Linked DNA regions of Struthio camelus. The protein of the gene in region 2 interacts with the protein of the main gene of each other region in a biochemical or structural test. Links are inferred from orthologs where the notes say so. Each region holds a gene or a part of one and is shown on either strand. Other genes may lie near its edges. The genes, in order: SNTB2 and DGKZ.

Region 1 (7,848 bases), on a different chromosome or scaffold from region 2:
ACGCAGCAGCCGACCCCCCCGCGCAAACCCTTCCTCTCACGGGCAGCCCGGCGGGCGCTCTCCGGAGACTCCCGTTTCAGCGCGCGCGGAGCACGGCCCCGCCGCACAGAGCGGCATCGCTGCACACGGAAACCCGACGCGAAGGCGCCGCGTTCACCTCTGCGCCGGCCGCAGCTTCTCTGGCCCAGCTTCCCCCAGACGCCAGGCAGCTAGTTTCGCTTCTTAGGCCTCCTCTCGAGAGGAGATGCAACAGCAAAGAGGGGCGGCAGGAGCCAAGCCCGTTGCAAAGGAAAGGGTCACCCCCTCCGCTAGCAGATAATTCACGCTGTCAGCAACTCTTAGCCACAAAATTGCACAATTAATAAAAACAGAAGACTCCAAGAATAGCCGTGGTGCGGGCATGGGAACAACTAACTGCAAGGAAAGCGTTCCCCCGAGGAGCCCGGGCCGTGCTTCACCTCCAGCAGGAGCCGGGTGCTCCGCAGCAGCGGGCGCAGCCGCACGGGGCAGCCGGCCGGCACGCTCCTTCCACCCCGCCTTGCTGGCTTCCCCGCGGCTGCGGGCCTCCGTTTTAAAGCCCGTGGGGTTGTCCCGCTTGGCGGCGGGCAGCCCAAGACCCCCCACCCGGGGTGACGTGATTCCCCTCGCCATGGGGAGCCCACCCGGGGGGGTGTCCTGCCCCTGTCCCCGGCTGGGGCAGGGATGCCGGGGCGGGAGAGGGCGTCCCCGTCCCCTGCTCTGGGCGAGGACACCGCCACCGGGGTGGGATGTCCGTGTCCCCGTCCCCACGGCGGGCAGGGACACCACTGGGAGCCGGCTGGGTCCCGGCACCGGGGACGACCCGTGGGCTGCCCGTGTGCCCGGTCACCGGGATGGGGGGCGTGCAGCACCCCGTAACGGGAGAGCGGATCCCGGGCGGTGTCAGGGACCCCGGTAATGGGACGAGGACACAAGGGGTATCCGGGAAGCTGGTAACAGCGAGGGGGCCGGGAGTCTGGTAGCTGGGACAGGGGAGGGGGCAGGATCCCGGTAACGGGAAAGGGGTAGGAGGGGGGATCCAGGAAGGGGGCAGGACCCCGGTAACGGGAAGGGGGTAGGAGGAGGGGATCCAGGAAGGGGGCAGGACCCCAGTAACGGGAAGGGGGTAGGAGGGGGGATCCAGGAAGGGGGCAGGACCCCAGTAATAGGAAGGGGGCAGGAGGGGGGGATCTGGGAAGGGGGCAGGACCCCAGTAACAGGAAGGGGGTAGGAGGGGGGATCCAGGAAGGGGGCAGGACCCCGGTAACGGGAAGGGGGCAGGAGGGGGGGATCCGGGAAGGGGACAGGAGGGGGGGATCCAGGAAGGGGGCAGGACCCCAGTAACGGGAAGGGGGCAGGAGGGGGGATCCGGGAAGGGGGCAGGACCCCGGTAACGGGAAGGGAAGCCCGGGACGTGCAGGACACCCGATAACCGGGACAGGGGAAGTGCAGGACCGGGGTGAGGGGACAGGGAAGCAGTGCAGGACCCCAGTAACGGGACGTGGCCTGGGGGGCTTGTGGGACACCCGGTAAGCCGGCCGGTAGAGAGGGAGGATCCCAGTAACGGGAAAGAGGGCAGGAGGGGGGGGATCCGGGGATGGGGCAGGACACCCGGTAACCGGGCAGGGGGAGGGGGCAGAATCCCAATAATGGGACCAAGAGGCAGGACACCCGGTAACGGGACAAGGGGGAGGGGGCAGGATCCCAGTAACGGGACAAGGGGGCAGGACACCCAGTAACCGGGCCGGGGGAAAGGGTAGGATCCCAGTAACGGGACAAGGGGGCAGGACACCCGGTAACCGGGCCGGGGGAAGGGGTAGGATCCCAGTAACGGGACAAGGCGGCAGGACACCCGGTAACGGGACAACGGGGGAGGGGGCAGGATCCTAGTAACAGGACAAGGGGGAGGGGGCACCCAGTAACCGGGCTGGGGGAAGGGGCAGGATCCCAGTAACGGGACAACGGGGCAGGACAGCCGGTAACGGGACAAGGGGGAGGGGCAGGATCCCGGTAACGGGACAAGGGGGCAGGACACCCGGTAACGGGACAAGGGGGCAGGACACCCGGTAACGGGACAAGGGGGCAGGACACCCGTAACCGGGACGGGGGAAGGGGCAGGATCCCGGTAACGGGACAAGGGGGCAGGACACCCGGTAACGGGACAAGGGGGCAGGACACCCGGTAACCGGGCCGGGGGAAGGGGCAGGACACCCGGTAACCGGGCCAGAGGAAGGGGCAGGATCCCGGTAACGGGACAAGGGGGCAGGACACCCGGTAACCGGGCCGGGACAAGGGGACAGGACACCCGGTAACGGGACAAGGGGGAGGGGGCACCCGGTAACCGGGCTGGGGGAAGGGGCAGGATCCCGGTAACGGGACAAGGGGGCAGGACACCCGGTAACGGGGCCGGGCCGGGCCAGGCCGGAGGGGCAGGACACCCGGTAACGGGGCCGGGCCGGGCCGGGCCGGAGGGGCAGGACACCCGGTAAGCGGCAGCGGGGGCCGCGACGCGGCGGTACCTTCGAGGACGACCTCCCTCCCGGCGCGCTTCAGCGCCTGCACGGCCTGGTCGTGGGTGGCGTCGCGGAGGTCGACGCCGTTGACGGCGAGGATGGCGTCGCCGAGGCGCAGGGCGCCGCACCGCTCCGCCGCCAGCCCCGGGAAGATGCGGGAGATGAGCACCGGCATGCGGTTCTCGCGGCCGCCCTTGATGCTGATGCCCAGCCCGCCCGCCTCCGCCTTCACCACCCGCACCCGCCGCACGCCCGCCGGCACCGCCGCCGCCGCCGCCTCCGCGCCGCCCCACTCGGCGCCGTTGGCCACGCCGTTCAGCGCCGCCGCCGCCGCCTCGCCGCCGCCGCCCGGCTCCGCCGTGAGGCTCAGCGCCTCGCCGCTCAGCTCCGCCGCCACCCGCACCCAGCGCTCCCGCAGCAGCAGCTCCAGCAGCCCCGCTTTGGAGGCGCGGGTCCACACGGCCATCCCGCCGCCGCCGCCGCCGCCGCCGCCCCGCGCGCTCCCCTCCCCCCCCACACCCCGGGGCGGCGCTCGGCGGCCCCGAGGCCACGCCCCCTCCTCCCGTCGCCCGCATGGCGGGCTCTGATAGGTCGCCCGCCGGCTCGGAGGGGCGGGGTTCGGCTCAGCCCCCCCCCCGCTCTGATTGGGTAAGGCGGAGGGACGGGGCGGGGAGGGGCGGTGGGGCCCCGCCCCCGCGCTCGCCTCAGGCCGCCGCCGCCGCCGCCGCGCTCCTCAGGGCGGGAGCCCGCGGGCGGGCCGCGCCCGAGCCGGCGCCGCCGTCCCCGAAGGGCCACACTGTCCCCAAAGGGCTACTGTCCCCAAAGGGCCACACTGTCCCCAAAGGGCCACACTGTCCCCCAAAAGGCCGGCACTACTGTCCCCAAAGGGTCACACTGTCCCCAAAGGGCCAGCACTACTGTCCCTGAAGGGCCACACTGTCCCCGAAGGGTCACACCATCCCCGAAGGGCCAGCACTACTGTCCCCAAAGGGCCACACTGTCCTCGAAGAGCCACACTGTCCCCCAAAGGGCCGGCACTACTGTCCCCAAAGGGCCACACTGTCCCCAAAGGGCCAGCACTACTGTCCCCAAAGGGTCACACTGTCCCCAAAGGGCCACACTGTCCCCCAAAGGGCCGGCACTACTGTCCCCAAAGGGCCACACCATCCTTGAAGAGCCACACTGTCCCCCAAAGGGCCGGCACTACTGTCCCCGAAGGGCCATGCCATCCCCAAAGGGCCAGCACTACTGTCCCTGAAGGGCTACGCCATCCCCGAAGAGTCACTGTCCCCAAAGGGCCACATTGTCCCCCAAGGGCCAGCACTACTGTCCCCAAAGGGGCCACGCCGTTTCTGAAGGGTCACACCATCCCCAAAGGGCCAGCGCCGCTGTCCCCGAAGGGCCATGCCATCCCTGAAGAGCCACACTGTCCCCAAAGGGTCACACCATCCCCAAAGGGCCAGCACTACCGTCCCCGAAGGGCCACGCCATCCCCAAAGGGCCACGCCATCCCCAAAGGGCCAGTGCCACTGTCCCCAAAGGGTCACATTGTCCCCAAAGGGCCACACCATCCCTCAAGGGCCAGCACTACTGTCCCCAAGGGGCCATGCTGTTTCTGAAGGGCCACACCATCCCCAAAGGGCCAGCGCTGCTGTCCCCGAAGGGCCACACTGTCCCCGAAGGGCCACATCATCCCCAAAGGGCCAGCGCCGCTGTCCCCGAAGGGCCATGCCATCCCTGAAGAGCCACACTGTCCCCAAAGGGCCAGCACTACTGCCCCTGAAGGGCCACGCCATCCCCAAAGGGCCAGTGCCACTGTCCCCAAAGGGTCACATTGTCCCCAAAGGGCCACACCATCCCTCAAGGGCCAGCACTACTGTCCCCAAGGGGCCATGCTGTTTCTGAAGGGCCACACCATCCCCAAAGGGCCAGCGCTGCTGTCCCCGAAGGGCCACACTGTCCCCGAAGGGCCACACCACCCCCAAAGGGCCAGCACTGCTGTCCCCAAAGGGCCACACCACCCCCGAAGGGCCAGCACCACTGTCCCCACAGGGCCACATCATCCCCAAAGGGCCAGCACCGCTGTCCCTCAAGGCCCACACTGTCCCCAAAAGGCCACACCATCCCCAAGGCCAGCACCACTGTCCCCACAACCACACTGTCCCCAGGGCCAGCACCACTGTCCCCAAAGGGCCACGCTGTCCTCAGCTCACACCGTGCCCAAAGGGCCAGGACTGCTGTCCCCAGGGCCACGCTGCCCCGGGCGCAGCCTGCCTTTCCGGCGGCAGGACAGCGGCACGGGGACACCACCAGCCGCCCAGGGCTGGAGCCCCGCGGCCACCCCGGCGCCACCTCGCAGGCCCCGAGGCCGGGGCGAGCTGCTGGCCTGTCCCCGCAGGAGGCAGCGGCTCGGCCGCCGAGACGCCGAGGAGAGGGCGGACGGAGCGCGCCAGCCCTACAGCTCTTCCTGCTTTAGCGAGCGAAGCCAGAGCATTAGGGGGAACTCCGCCAAAGAAATCCTCTCCCCCAGGAAAGCAACTTCCTTCTGCGGGCCAGCGTCCCTGCATCCTGCTCGCGCAACGGCCGATCAAGGAATTACTCGCGCGGGGAGCAAAGATTTCGCAGTCAGACGTTGAGTGGCTGCCGCAACGCACCGGCGCCGGCGAGCTCGGCAGGTTACCAGCACGGGGGCAACGCTCCCGTTACACAACACCCCTATCCCGTCACCTTCATTTACGCCCAGGGTTCGTCAAGCGCTTGGACAGCAGCGCGGCCAGCCTGCCCGCTCGGGGACCCCGGCCGCTGCTGCGCTCGGCTCCCGGGCGCCCGCCGCCCCAGGGCCCTGCCTTGCTGATAGGAGACCAGGGGAGGCCGCTTGGCAGCGTGCGGGGGGAAGATGCACGCGCGAGGGACAGTGGTCGCTGCAGAGTAGCTTCTGCAAGAGAATAAACATCATCCTGAGTCACCGTTTCATAAATCTTCTCTCCCCACAGAAGAGCTTTGCTCGCGTTTCTTTTTTTTTCTACGATACTGAACCGGCAGCTGTTTATTGCCCCCGTTTTTCGGAGCCTGTAGTTTCGCAAGGCTGCAGTGACCAGATCCTCCTCCCCGATCCGTCGGCAGTCCGGCCCCCAGGCTGCTTGCTGTCCAAGGACTGGCCTCGGCCACACGCAGGCAGCGGGGGCAGCCCGGTCAGCGCAAGCCTCGGGGGCGAGACGGACTGCAACGGTGCTTCGTGGGAGGCCTGTCAGCTGGAGGGGAATCTAGCTGGCCGGAATAGGAGACTTTGAAGGAGGGAAGGGAAACGACAGCGCAGCAGCACGGGGCTGGTACCCGTTCCTGAAACGGTAGGGCGAGCATCAGCCTTGTCACAGAGAGGGCAACTGGGCAGGACGGTGCACCCAAACACATACGGCTAAATACCCTTGGCTGCTTCCAGGCCGGGCTTTGCCTCCCTGCAGCAGGAGCTCGGCGTGGAGAACGTCAGCAGCAGCCCTCACTGCGCTCCCGTCCTCCTCCGGAGGCACCGCCAAGCCCCGAGCGCGGGGACAGCCGCCCGACACCGCCGCAGCCCCGGAGAGCCAGCTCTCCTCCCGCGGCTGCGCGTTGCCAGCTCCCCATGCCAAAAGCTTTCCAGCACCCTCCTCCCGATCGAGCCACCCAGATGGGGCGCTCTCCTCTCCTCTCCGCAGCAGGGGCTGGGAAGCAGGAGGGCCAAGCGATGAGGGGAGGTAGCGACAGCAGCGAGGAAAAGTTTGCAAAGCAAGAGCGTGTGCATTCACACCCCGGTCCTGGTGTCCCCTCCCAAGGCCAGGGGCAGGAGAGCTGCTCCACGCACCGGCACGTGGCAGCTCACCCACCGTCAGCCTGCGCCCACCAGCACTGCAAAAACGGCTGTGGCCATGCACGACTACAACGCTAACAAGCCGCTCGGCCCTGCCTCTCCCGTCCGACCCTCTCTCGAGGCAGAGCAGGAGCGCACTGCACAGGCGTCAGGACAGGGCACATGGGGACTGCCCGTCCCTGCCCTGCTGAGCAGGCACTCGGCACCCCTCTGTCCATCCGGAGCCCAGCTCACTAGGCTTCCCGCCTGGCGGGACACGTGAACGTGACTGCTGTTTGAGGGGATGGGAGCCCCCTCTGTCCCACGCAGAGCCACCAGCAGTCACGAAACCCATCTTGCAGCTGCCCGGGACAGCACCAGGAGAGAGAAACCAGCGCCGGGGCCTGACGTTTCCCAGAAGAGCAGCCACAGAGAAGGTAGAAGATCTGGGACGATGCCTAGCCCTCGCAGTCACCAGTCGCTGCCAATGAGCAACCCAGACAGCAGGACAGGCATGACCAGGGGAGTCCTACGAGACAAAGGTGTCCTTGGCTCCTGATTCAGACTCAGGCCAGAGCCAATCTGACCTGCTGCTGCTCAGACAGCAGGGAGCCCCACAGGGCAAGGATGATGCCTGAGCACGCAGCCCTACAGAACAACGGGGTTTATTACTACAACATCCTAGGAAAGTAACATACACAGTTTTTGTGGCTGGAGCAACTTGTTCTGCTCTTAGGTGCCAAATTTCTTCTGTTGGATGGGTGGTGGCAGCTGGGTCTTGATGTCCATGAGGGGCCGCTCCACCATCACAAGGCAGTTCTCATCCAGCAGATCCGCAAAGAGCAGGGGCTGCAGGGCAGGGAGGGGACAGGAGATGACAGCCCTGCCAGGGACAGGGCAATGTCTCTCCTTGCCCTGCCTCAGCTTGCTGGGTTCGACCACGTACGTGGAGCTGGCTGCAAGGCAGCTCTGGCTTAACCTTAACCAGGGACATCGCTTAAGGGACGTGCTCTGCAGAGAGCTGCTGGGGAAAAATCAGAGCCCGCGAGATGGACAGCAAGCGGCTGCACCGTGATGGGGACATAGAGACTCAGAGCTGCTGGGGCACTGAGAGCACATACGACACCAGCAGAGTTGAGGAACAGCTCAGGAAGGCTGCGCTCAGACCATGCCAGGACAGCAGGCATCTTGCTCCAGAAACAGCAAAGGAGGGAGCCTGTGGCAGGATCACCTCTGCACCTGTGGCTCCTTCCAGCTAGCGGGGCATCCTGACAGCATCGCAGCAGCCTCCTTGCTCCCCTGGGCAGACCACAGGTCCAGGGCACCCCCTTCCTCAACACCACCCCTCCTCAGAGACAGCACATGCACAGCAACACCCACCTGGAACTTCTTGCAGATCTTGAAAGCGTGGAGTTGTCTCTTCCTAGCTGTCTCTGGGAGCTGCTTCAGGGTGCTCTGATTCATCAGAGAGGCACTGTCGTCAGGCAGGGGCTG
Region 2 (8,057 bases):
CTCTGAGCGCATGAGATCTCAAAGCCTCTCCCTGGAACATCCCCTCCGGCCTGCTGGCAACCTTGTGTCAGGTTCCTGTTACACAGTGAATGGCTTCCCTGGCTCAGACCAGGGGTGAGGCCCTCCACTACACATAGGTAGAAAGAGCACACTGTCCCTCCCCGTTGCTAGCTCCCCGAGCCCCCCTATGCTTTCCCCAGCACCAGGCAGTAGCAGTGCTTTTGCAGTCTCTCCGCCAGGTGGCAGCACAGCCCGCATCCGTGGATCCTGCCAGGGGACTCGCGTGACCCCAGGTGACTTACCAGCAGCTTTGCCATACAGTTTTGCTCCCCAACATAGCAGAAATCCCCAGAGGCATTGGTCTCAAACCAGATGTGCTCCCCATAGACTGCAGTCTCCTGAAAGGCACAAGACAATGCTGTGTTTCTCTGAGAGCACCCATAAGTGATCATCTGATCTCCTAAAATGCTTTGTGCTAGGGACAAGACAACTTGATGTGGGGGTTGGGGGGGCTAGATGTAGGCAGGGAGACAAGATGCACAGAATCACCAGGGCAAACACCTGCAGAGAGGAAACCTTACAAAGCTGCTGCCACAGCCCACCCTGTTGGAAATGAGAGGCCCCCAGGAAACCAACTCTCCTCTCTCTCAGATCCTATGGAAAAACCTACAGCCTAGCTGTGTCCCATTCAGTGGGGCTGCCTCTATTCCCCCTGAGAAGAGGCACCTCGGCAAATTCAATGCTGGGGTCTCTCCTGAAACAGCCTCTGTTCCTTGACTTCAGGCAGGTTTTGACCTGCACCCTTCCTTTGCCTTTGCAGGAGGAGGGTTGGGGCGGAGGCTGGCACCCATATGCCAAGGAGAGCCCTGTGTCCCAGGGACTCCATTTGCCAGAAGACTTCCACTGCCAAGAGCAGAAGAACTGGAAGTTAAGTAGCTGTGCAACCTCCCAGGGAACTGCCTGTGCCCGCATAGCCTCTCTTCGCAGCATCAAGGGGTGCTGCCAGCAGCACAGATGCTGGCACCAGCGGAGGCCACAAATGTGTCAAAGCCAAAGTCACCTGGGAAGCCCTGGCCTGGGAAGAGCCTGCTGCTTCTTGTCTCAAAGCCCATCCTACCTCATGCCCAGCAAAATGCAAAGCAACTTACGCTCCAGTCCACAGTGCTGCGTATCTGCCTCTCTGAATCGCTCCTCAGGGCTAGCGCAGGGTTTGGCTGGGCTACCATGTGCTGGAGGCTGGATTTGGCAATAGCTTTTCTGGAAGACACGAGGGCTGCCTATTAGATCAGGAGAGGAGGAATGTGCGCAAAGAACAGCCTGCCTCTGGGATAGACAGTGATACTGGAGAAGAAAACCATCCTCAGAACCAAGCAGCTGGAAGTGCAGCGAATCCCCCAGGACCACTGCCTGAGGAACATCACCTCTCCGGCAAGTCAGTCCCTGTAGGGTGCAGAGGTGCTGGCCACATTGCTGACACTCACCAAAAGACATCCTACATCCGGCAAAAGACAGGCTAGACCTGCTGGGTCAAAACTCTCAGGGATGACAGGCCCACTGCATGACAGCCCAGGATACCCCACCAGCAGTCTCCACCAGGCTGTAGAGGTGGGGCTGCCTGTGCAAGGGCAGCCTTGAGCCCCTGCCCCAGTGCAGCTCCCCATAGCTTCCCACATATAAAGGCACCTCAGAGCCTGAGGCATTTTCAGAGTCCGGCACAACCGGCTAAAGCAAAGTAGCTTGTTTGGGACTAGGGAGCTGGTGAGCTTCCTTCGGGTAGGTTAGGGTGGAGGAAAGGACCAACAGGTCTAGTCAACTGGAGAAATTAGACAATACCCACCTCTAGCCCTAAAAGAGCCTTGGCCTCTTTTTTCACACCTGGGCTGGGAGAAGGCAAGGAATACAGAGGTACTTTGTACCGGCTGGAAGGGGACGTGTGGCAAGCCCCAAGGGGCTGCGGTGAGAGCATCAGACAAACAGAAAACTACCTCAGCCCTCAGTGACCTAAGGAGGAGACTGGCTCCTTGCTCTCCTCTACAGACACAAACAGCACTGCAAAGACATTGACAGCGGTGAGGCCTGGCACAGCCTTCTCCGACCCTGGCCACGTGGCACAAAAGGCCTCAGACCCAAGCCAAGCCCCTGCCCCTTCCTTCCTTCCCCATCCCCGGCCTGGCAAGCCTGGAGCCCCACATCCACCTCCCCTCTCTCAGATACTGCCTCGCTAACGTCACACGCCGCCATACATACAGCAGCCTGGGGCTCCAGGAGTCGGGGGCGGCAGGGCAGACGGGCTCCGATCCCAGGCACTCGGAGGGGGCAGCGGGAGGGCGCCTGGCTCCGGCTGCAGCCATCCACCTCCTGGGCAGCAGCCGCGCTCGGCCCGGGGAGATCAGCGCCCCGGGCCCCACGGCGTCACTCGAACGCCGGTGCTGGCTGAGGCGGCGGTAGCGCCCTTGCAGGCCGTAGGCAGCCCTGCCGTACACGAACTCGGTGGGCAGGAGATGGGAGGATCTGCGACGCAGGCACCGGGGGCCCCTCAGCAGCGGCCTGGCGTGGAGGGGCCGCAGCACGGGGAGCATGGAGAGCCAGGTCTCCTCAGCCCACCACCTGCGCCTGCCTGGCTCCGCTCCCCTGGCGGCCACGCTCTCCTCCCTGCCACCACCGTCCTCCAGCGACTCGGATCCGGAGCTGTCGGCACAGGGCACCCCTTTCCCCTCCTCTCTCATTTGGATAAGGCTGGCCAGGAGCATGGAAGGGCCCATCAAGTGGGTATCGATGGATCGCACCTGACCCCCGCGCTTCTTCTGCACGGCGAAGCGGGGGCTGAGGCATGGCGGTGTGGTGCTGGAGCGGCGCCGGGAGCCGGGGCTGGCCTGCTGGGGCCGGCCCAGGCAGGAGAGGGCCGGCAGCGGCGCGCCGGACCTGCACCGGCGCTGGACCAGCGAGGCTGAGGGCAGGCCCACTTGGGAGCGGCGCCTGGCTTTACCTGTGGGCACTGCCACCGCGCTGGCTCGCCGCGACCCCGAGGGCCCCTTCCTCTGGAAGTGCCTCTTAAAAAAGGTTTCCATAGCACAGAGGGTGGCACCTGAAGGGTGGCTGTTAACATAGAAACCAGCAATTAAAGAGCCTCCTGGCTAGGCTGCAAAGACCAAAGCAGTGACGGGCCAGGGGACGGCCCCGAGCTCACAGGGTGCAGCAGAAGAGAGGGCAGGAGGAAGGTGAAACAGCAGGAAACCCAGTTGCCAGACCTACGTGGTTGCTGCCGAGCTCTGCCTCTCCCTGCCTCAGCCCTCTCTACACAGGCAGAAAAGGAGGATGGGGAGAGGCGTGAAGGCCTTGTCTGGTGGCTCAGGGGGTAGCAACGAGCAAACAACTGGATGCTGGGATGCCTCCACCTAGAGCGAGCAACAAGACTGGGACCGGCCTCTGGTATACAACACACATTATTCACTGCTTAACGGCACTGCAGGAGCAGCTGGGCCACAAGGCACCCTCTCCTCTTGAGTTCAGAGCCAAATAAAGCTCTCCCTCTTATTAAGGCAGTTTCTAGGTTTATTTTCACAGCTTAGTGGAGGGTGCTGTGATGGCAGGGCAGGCATCACGTGCTGTTCCTAGTTCCCTCTAGATCCCCTGCTCATCACTGCAGGATCAACGTAGTCCTAACTCCTCTTTTGCACTGCACAGCTTCCATTTCCAATCTCTCAGCAATCTGTCCAGTCCTCTTCAGATTTCCTAGTCCCCAGCACTGTAAGGCACAGAAAAAGCTCAGCATTCAAATGTAGCCTCCTGTCAGCACTAGGATGATAGCTGGTTCCTGCAGCTACTTCTCTGCAGAGGGCTTTGGGTGGGAAGAAAAAAAAAAAACAGTGAATTTAGGAGGCTGGAGGTGTTAAAGGGATAATTTCTTGACTTGGAGCAGCTAAGAAGAGACTCCCTTTAAAAGGAACAAAGCCTTTCCTACAATCTCATGTGCTGAGCTGGATGGAACAAGGGCACGTGGCACTCGATGCCTTCGGTGAGGACAGCCAGGCTTACCCTGGAGAAGGTGCTCAGAAATACCCACTGGACTACTCGGATGTCTGCAGAGGCTGAGCTCCCCTCTAGACGACCCTGTGGAGAAGAGCCTCTGTACTGCTTGAAAAGATCAGCCCTTGCTCACGACCCCCAGTCACACGCATTCATCCCCTGGTGCTGGCCCTCCTGTTTTTCCAGTGGTAACCGCTCTGTGTAAGCACCAACCGCACAGAATTTGATGCAAATGAAAACAAAGGACTTACGAATTTGCAATAAAAGCAAGGCCAGTAAAAGAGGGGCAGGCAGATTTGGTAGAGGCTGGCAGAGGGAGCTGGAGTGGAGGTGGCCTAGGAAAATCGTCCTGTCCGTCCTGCTCAGAACTCCCCTCTCTCGGTGGGAAGAGCTTTAACATGACTCTCGAGCTTTCATTGCCCAGCTCTCAAAGCCTAACTCGTTGCCAGGACATTACAGCTGTTCGTGAAAAGCGCTGGGCCACAGATGGAAGTTGCTACAACACTGGTTTAAGCACTCTCAGCTTAGCATGCAAAGGTTTAAAAGGAAGAGACCGAAGCTGACTAATTCCAGTGCTCCTCTGCTCTAAGCAAAGTGCTTCTCCTCTGACCCCCCAGCCACTGCTTGTCTTCAACCTCTAAACAGAGAGGGTTTATCTGAGGACAACTCAAGAAACACTGACACTCACAGCTTGGTAGAATCTTTCTGGCGCCTCAAATGCTACAGAGCCAGGGGCCTCCAAATTAGGGCAGCCTGCAGGCACACGCAAGCCACCGTTGTCACTCCCAGCAACTTCTCCGTGCTGTAAAAGGCTGCTCCTCTACCCATCGTGAGCGTACAGGCACGTCACTCACCACTGCACTAAGATTAGCTGCGCTCACTTCTGTCTTCCTTTCTTCTCATGCTTTCTTATGCGGTCACTTGCTGGTCAGCAGTACTAAAGACCTTCAGAACAGCCTGGCCTAAACCTCAACAGCCCTGAGGGCCATGGGAACAGGCAGATTTGTCAGACAGATGCTTCCCTTTTTGCTTGGGAGACGCATTAAGATAGCACACGGGTGCTATTTTCTGGACCATAAACAGGCAGTTTTGTTTAGTGCTTGTATGCAAGCAACCCACTGGGCTGTACCTCTGCTTCTTTTAGAGAAGACTATAAAGCCAAGTTTGCATTTTGGAGAGGACAAGACATGGTTCATTCCCCTCCAGCCTGGTAGGCAAGGAAGTTAGCTCTGTAGTTTCTGTAGTCTCACTGCTATTCCCTGTGCTACTGTTGTATTCAGCAATGCAGCCTAGGGAGGGGAGAAAGTACAGCAATACTCTACAGAGGAATCTGCAGCTCGGACAGCAGCACTGGGGGAGCTAAAGTCTTGCTGAATTGAAAGCAAAACCAGAGTGCCATCTCCTCAGAGGAATTTCTCAAGTTCCACCACAGTGAGCGATGCAGATACGTCAAGCGCTAACTGATCACTAGCACATTTAACCATCGTACCGCCGAGGCCTGCGCAGCTTCGCAGATGGCATAAGCAAGTTCCGCTGATCACTCTGCTTCTAGCCCATCCTTGACCCTGCAATATGCTAGTCTTGTCCTTTCTCCCCACAATTTATAGGATACCTCAGTAAACTGGATTATCAACAATAGTCTTAAAAATTGTCTGAACAAATGGAACGGGTTAACAAACAACAGAGGACACTGCCTGGGAGTGGCAAACCGCAACAAGCTCTCTTTGATCATGTTTACTTGCTAGGGTAGATGTACTGCCAGGCTACATCCCGAATGAGTTGAATTGGTGCCCTCTTCTGCCCCAGATATTCCACCAACATTCAGGCTGATGTGCTGCTGGCCAAGCTGCTGCTATGGGCAGAAAGATCTTTCAACACGGCTTCCTTCCTTTTTGCACCACGGTCTCGTGAGGAAATTTGCCTCAACAACCTTTGCTTGACATTTATATTTTGGTTACTAGTTGATTAGAGTTTTTTTTTTTTTTTTTTTTTTAATCTTCAAGGTTGTCAGAGAGTGGCGCACACTCTCTTGTTCCAGTCACCAGTGGTGAAGGGTATTATCGGGAAATCATTTGACAGCCCATAATGGCACCATGCAGCAACTCAGATGGGGAAGTTCTTCACCATCCTATCTCTTGCATCTTACTTGCAACCTGAGCTGCCAAATGCTATACCGTGGGTGTTAAGAGCTGCTGCTGGCAGAGCACGGCGCCTGAAGGCAACGAGGCACGGACTGCCTAGGGCTGATGTGCACTGGCAGAGCCGTGAGCAGGGGAACCGTGCACTGCGGGGAAAGGAGCCTGACCAGAGCTAACTCTTGAAAGCTTCTGGCCCAACACTTGCACGTTTCTGGAATCTGCAGATTTCTCTTAAAAGACTATTTTCAGCTGTGAAGATGGATGAGAAGCAGTGCTTGTTACTGTTCTGCAGACTGCATCGCTCAGTTGAGTTAGGTAAGGAGGCTGGATGGAGGCAGTCTAACATTAGCAGGGTGGGAAGGAAAGGAAAGGAAAGGAAATAATGCTGCACACACTAGCATATCAACTCTACTTACAGGCAGCTTTACATTATCATTACAATCTGCTTCTGTGAATGAGGAAGGAGTCGGCAGCTTTGGTGTGCAAGTGGAGCTTTTGGGAGTTTTTTTTTTCTAACCTGACCCCTCAGTGCTCCTCAGCCTCAACCTCCTGCCTGTGCTCCCAGCCTAGCATCAGTGAGCAGAGATACCGCTGAAGCAGGAACACACCCCTGACCATGGACAGTCAGTGGCGCTGCCCCTGAGAGCTGAGGAGGGGCTGCAGGAAGCTGTCTGGGTGCTCAGAGAAGGCTGCAAGCTGTTACTCTCAGGATAGAGCTAATCTCAGTGGAAGGATCTAAATGCCCTGGAAAGTCAAACAGGGATCTAAGAAAAAAACCTTGCCTCTCATAACTTCAGTAGATGCAGAGCTGGTAGATCAGCTGATAAGGGGACCCTGCTCTCCAGAGAGCCACCCAAATATCCAGCACACATCCCTTCCATGGCGGTGGTAGTTCCAAAACCAGAAAAGCTGATTCCAAGGCCAGAACATGAACTTTCGTCCCTCAGGCACAGGCTTTGCCCGTGGTAGGGAGAGCTTCTTGGTATGCAGCTCCTGTAATTCTGCTTTGCTCCAATAGCCTCAAGCAAACCCCGGTGTACTGTACTGAACAAGCCCTCTGTGACCTTCTTATCTGTGTACATGGATGCTGTGCCACATGTCTGTTCAGTCCTTCCCCTTCATTATTATCCCTTCACCCCCCCTCCAGTGAACTGGTCTCTTCCTGAGAGGACCCAGAAGCAACAGAGATCCCAGGCTGCCTTTCCAGCCCCATCACTTCCATTCAGATACCACAGGTTGCCGTCAGTTAGTGTTTCCACCACAAGCTTGCACTACCGCTCTCAGTGCTCTGATACTCAAGTCTTTCCATGTATGCTGCTGTCCCCATACCACCTCTGCTGGAATCCTGTCCCAGCTCTCCCTTCCGGCTCCCAGGCATCAGCTACTGAACCCTGCTCCCCAGTCAGCCCTCTCCAATACACAAGGAAGAGCAACTCACATGGATTAGGTTTGCCAGGAAAGGTGTCCCTTTCTCAGAAGCATCAGCCACTAGTCCCTGTCACAGATGGTGAAGAGAGCATCTGGGTCAAGACATGCTATAGCCCTTGGGGCTTTGGTTGAGGTGAGCTGAGCTGAGCTGAGCAATTATCAGCAAGTTCCCAAACTCTGTGCAGTTTGTTTCTACCTAAAATTTACATCTAAGTTGTAATCTGTCCTACATCAGGCAAATAAAACAGGGACAGAAGCTGCCTGAGGGGGCAACTTCACGAGAACAAGGGCAAAAAGGTCTGAGAATAACCTGTTACTGAGTACAGCTACTACTTCCTTGGGGAACACCAGCTCTCATCTAACTGTGCAGAAGTCTCTCTAGCCAGCACTGATGCACACACACCTCTGAAGGAAGGGCAGAAGAGCAGCAGCCCTCCCCTGTGCTTTTGGTACAATGGTGGAAAG

Evidence for each region.
Region 1: the proteins of DGKZ (region 2) and SNTB2 form a complex in vitro, tested with the Homo sapiens proteins (2 studies listed by BioGRID and IntAct, with this or other methods). The link is inferred for Struthio camelus from reciprocal best matches to the Homo sapiens genes DGKZ and SNTB2.

Annotation. Positions count from the first base shown.
Region 1 is NC_090951.1:1,656,824-1,664,671, forward strand, and holds the start of SNTB2 (beta-2-syntrophin), read right to left. Parts: upstream 3,019-7,848; 5' UTR 2,998-3,018; coding exon 2,538-2,997; intron 1-2,537. Other genes in the region: UTP4 (U3 small nucleolar RNA-associated protein 4 homolog), read right to left, coding at 7,087-7,203, 7,735-7,845. UniProt on the Homo sapiens protein: Adapter protein that binds to and probably organizes the subcellular localization of a variety of membrane proteins. May link various receptors to the actin cytoskeleton and the dystrophin glycoprotein complex.
Region 2 is NC_090946.1:40,031,521-40,039,577, forward strand, and holds the start of DGKZ (diacylglycerol kinase zeta), read right to left. Parts: upstream 3,193-8,057; 5' UTR 3,069-3,192; coding exon 2,248-3,068; intron 1,258-2,247; coding exon 1,149-1,257; intron 399-1,148; coding exon 303-398; intron 1-302. UniProt on the Homo sapiens protein: Diacylglycerol kinase that converts diacylglycerol/DAG into phosphatidic acid/phosphatidate/PA and regulates the respective levels of these two bioactive lipids.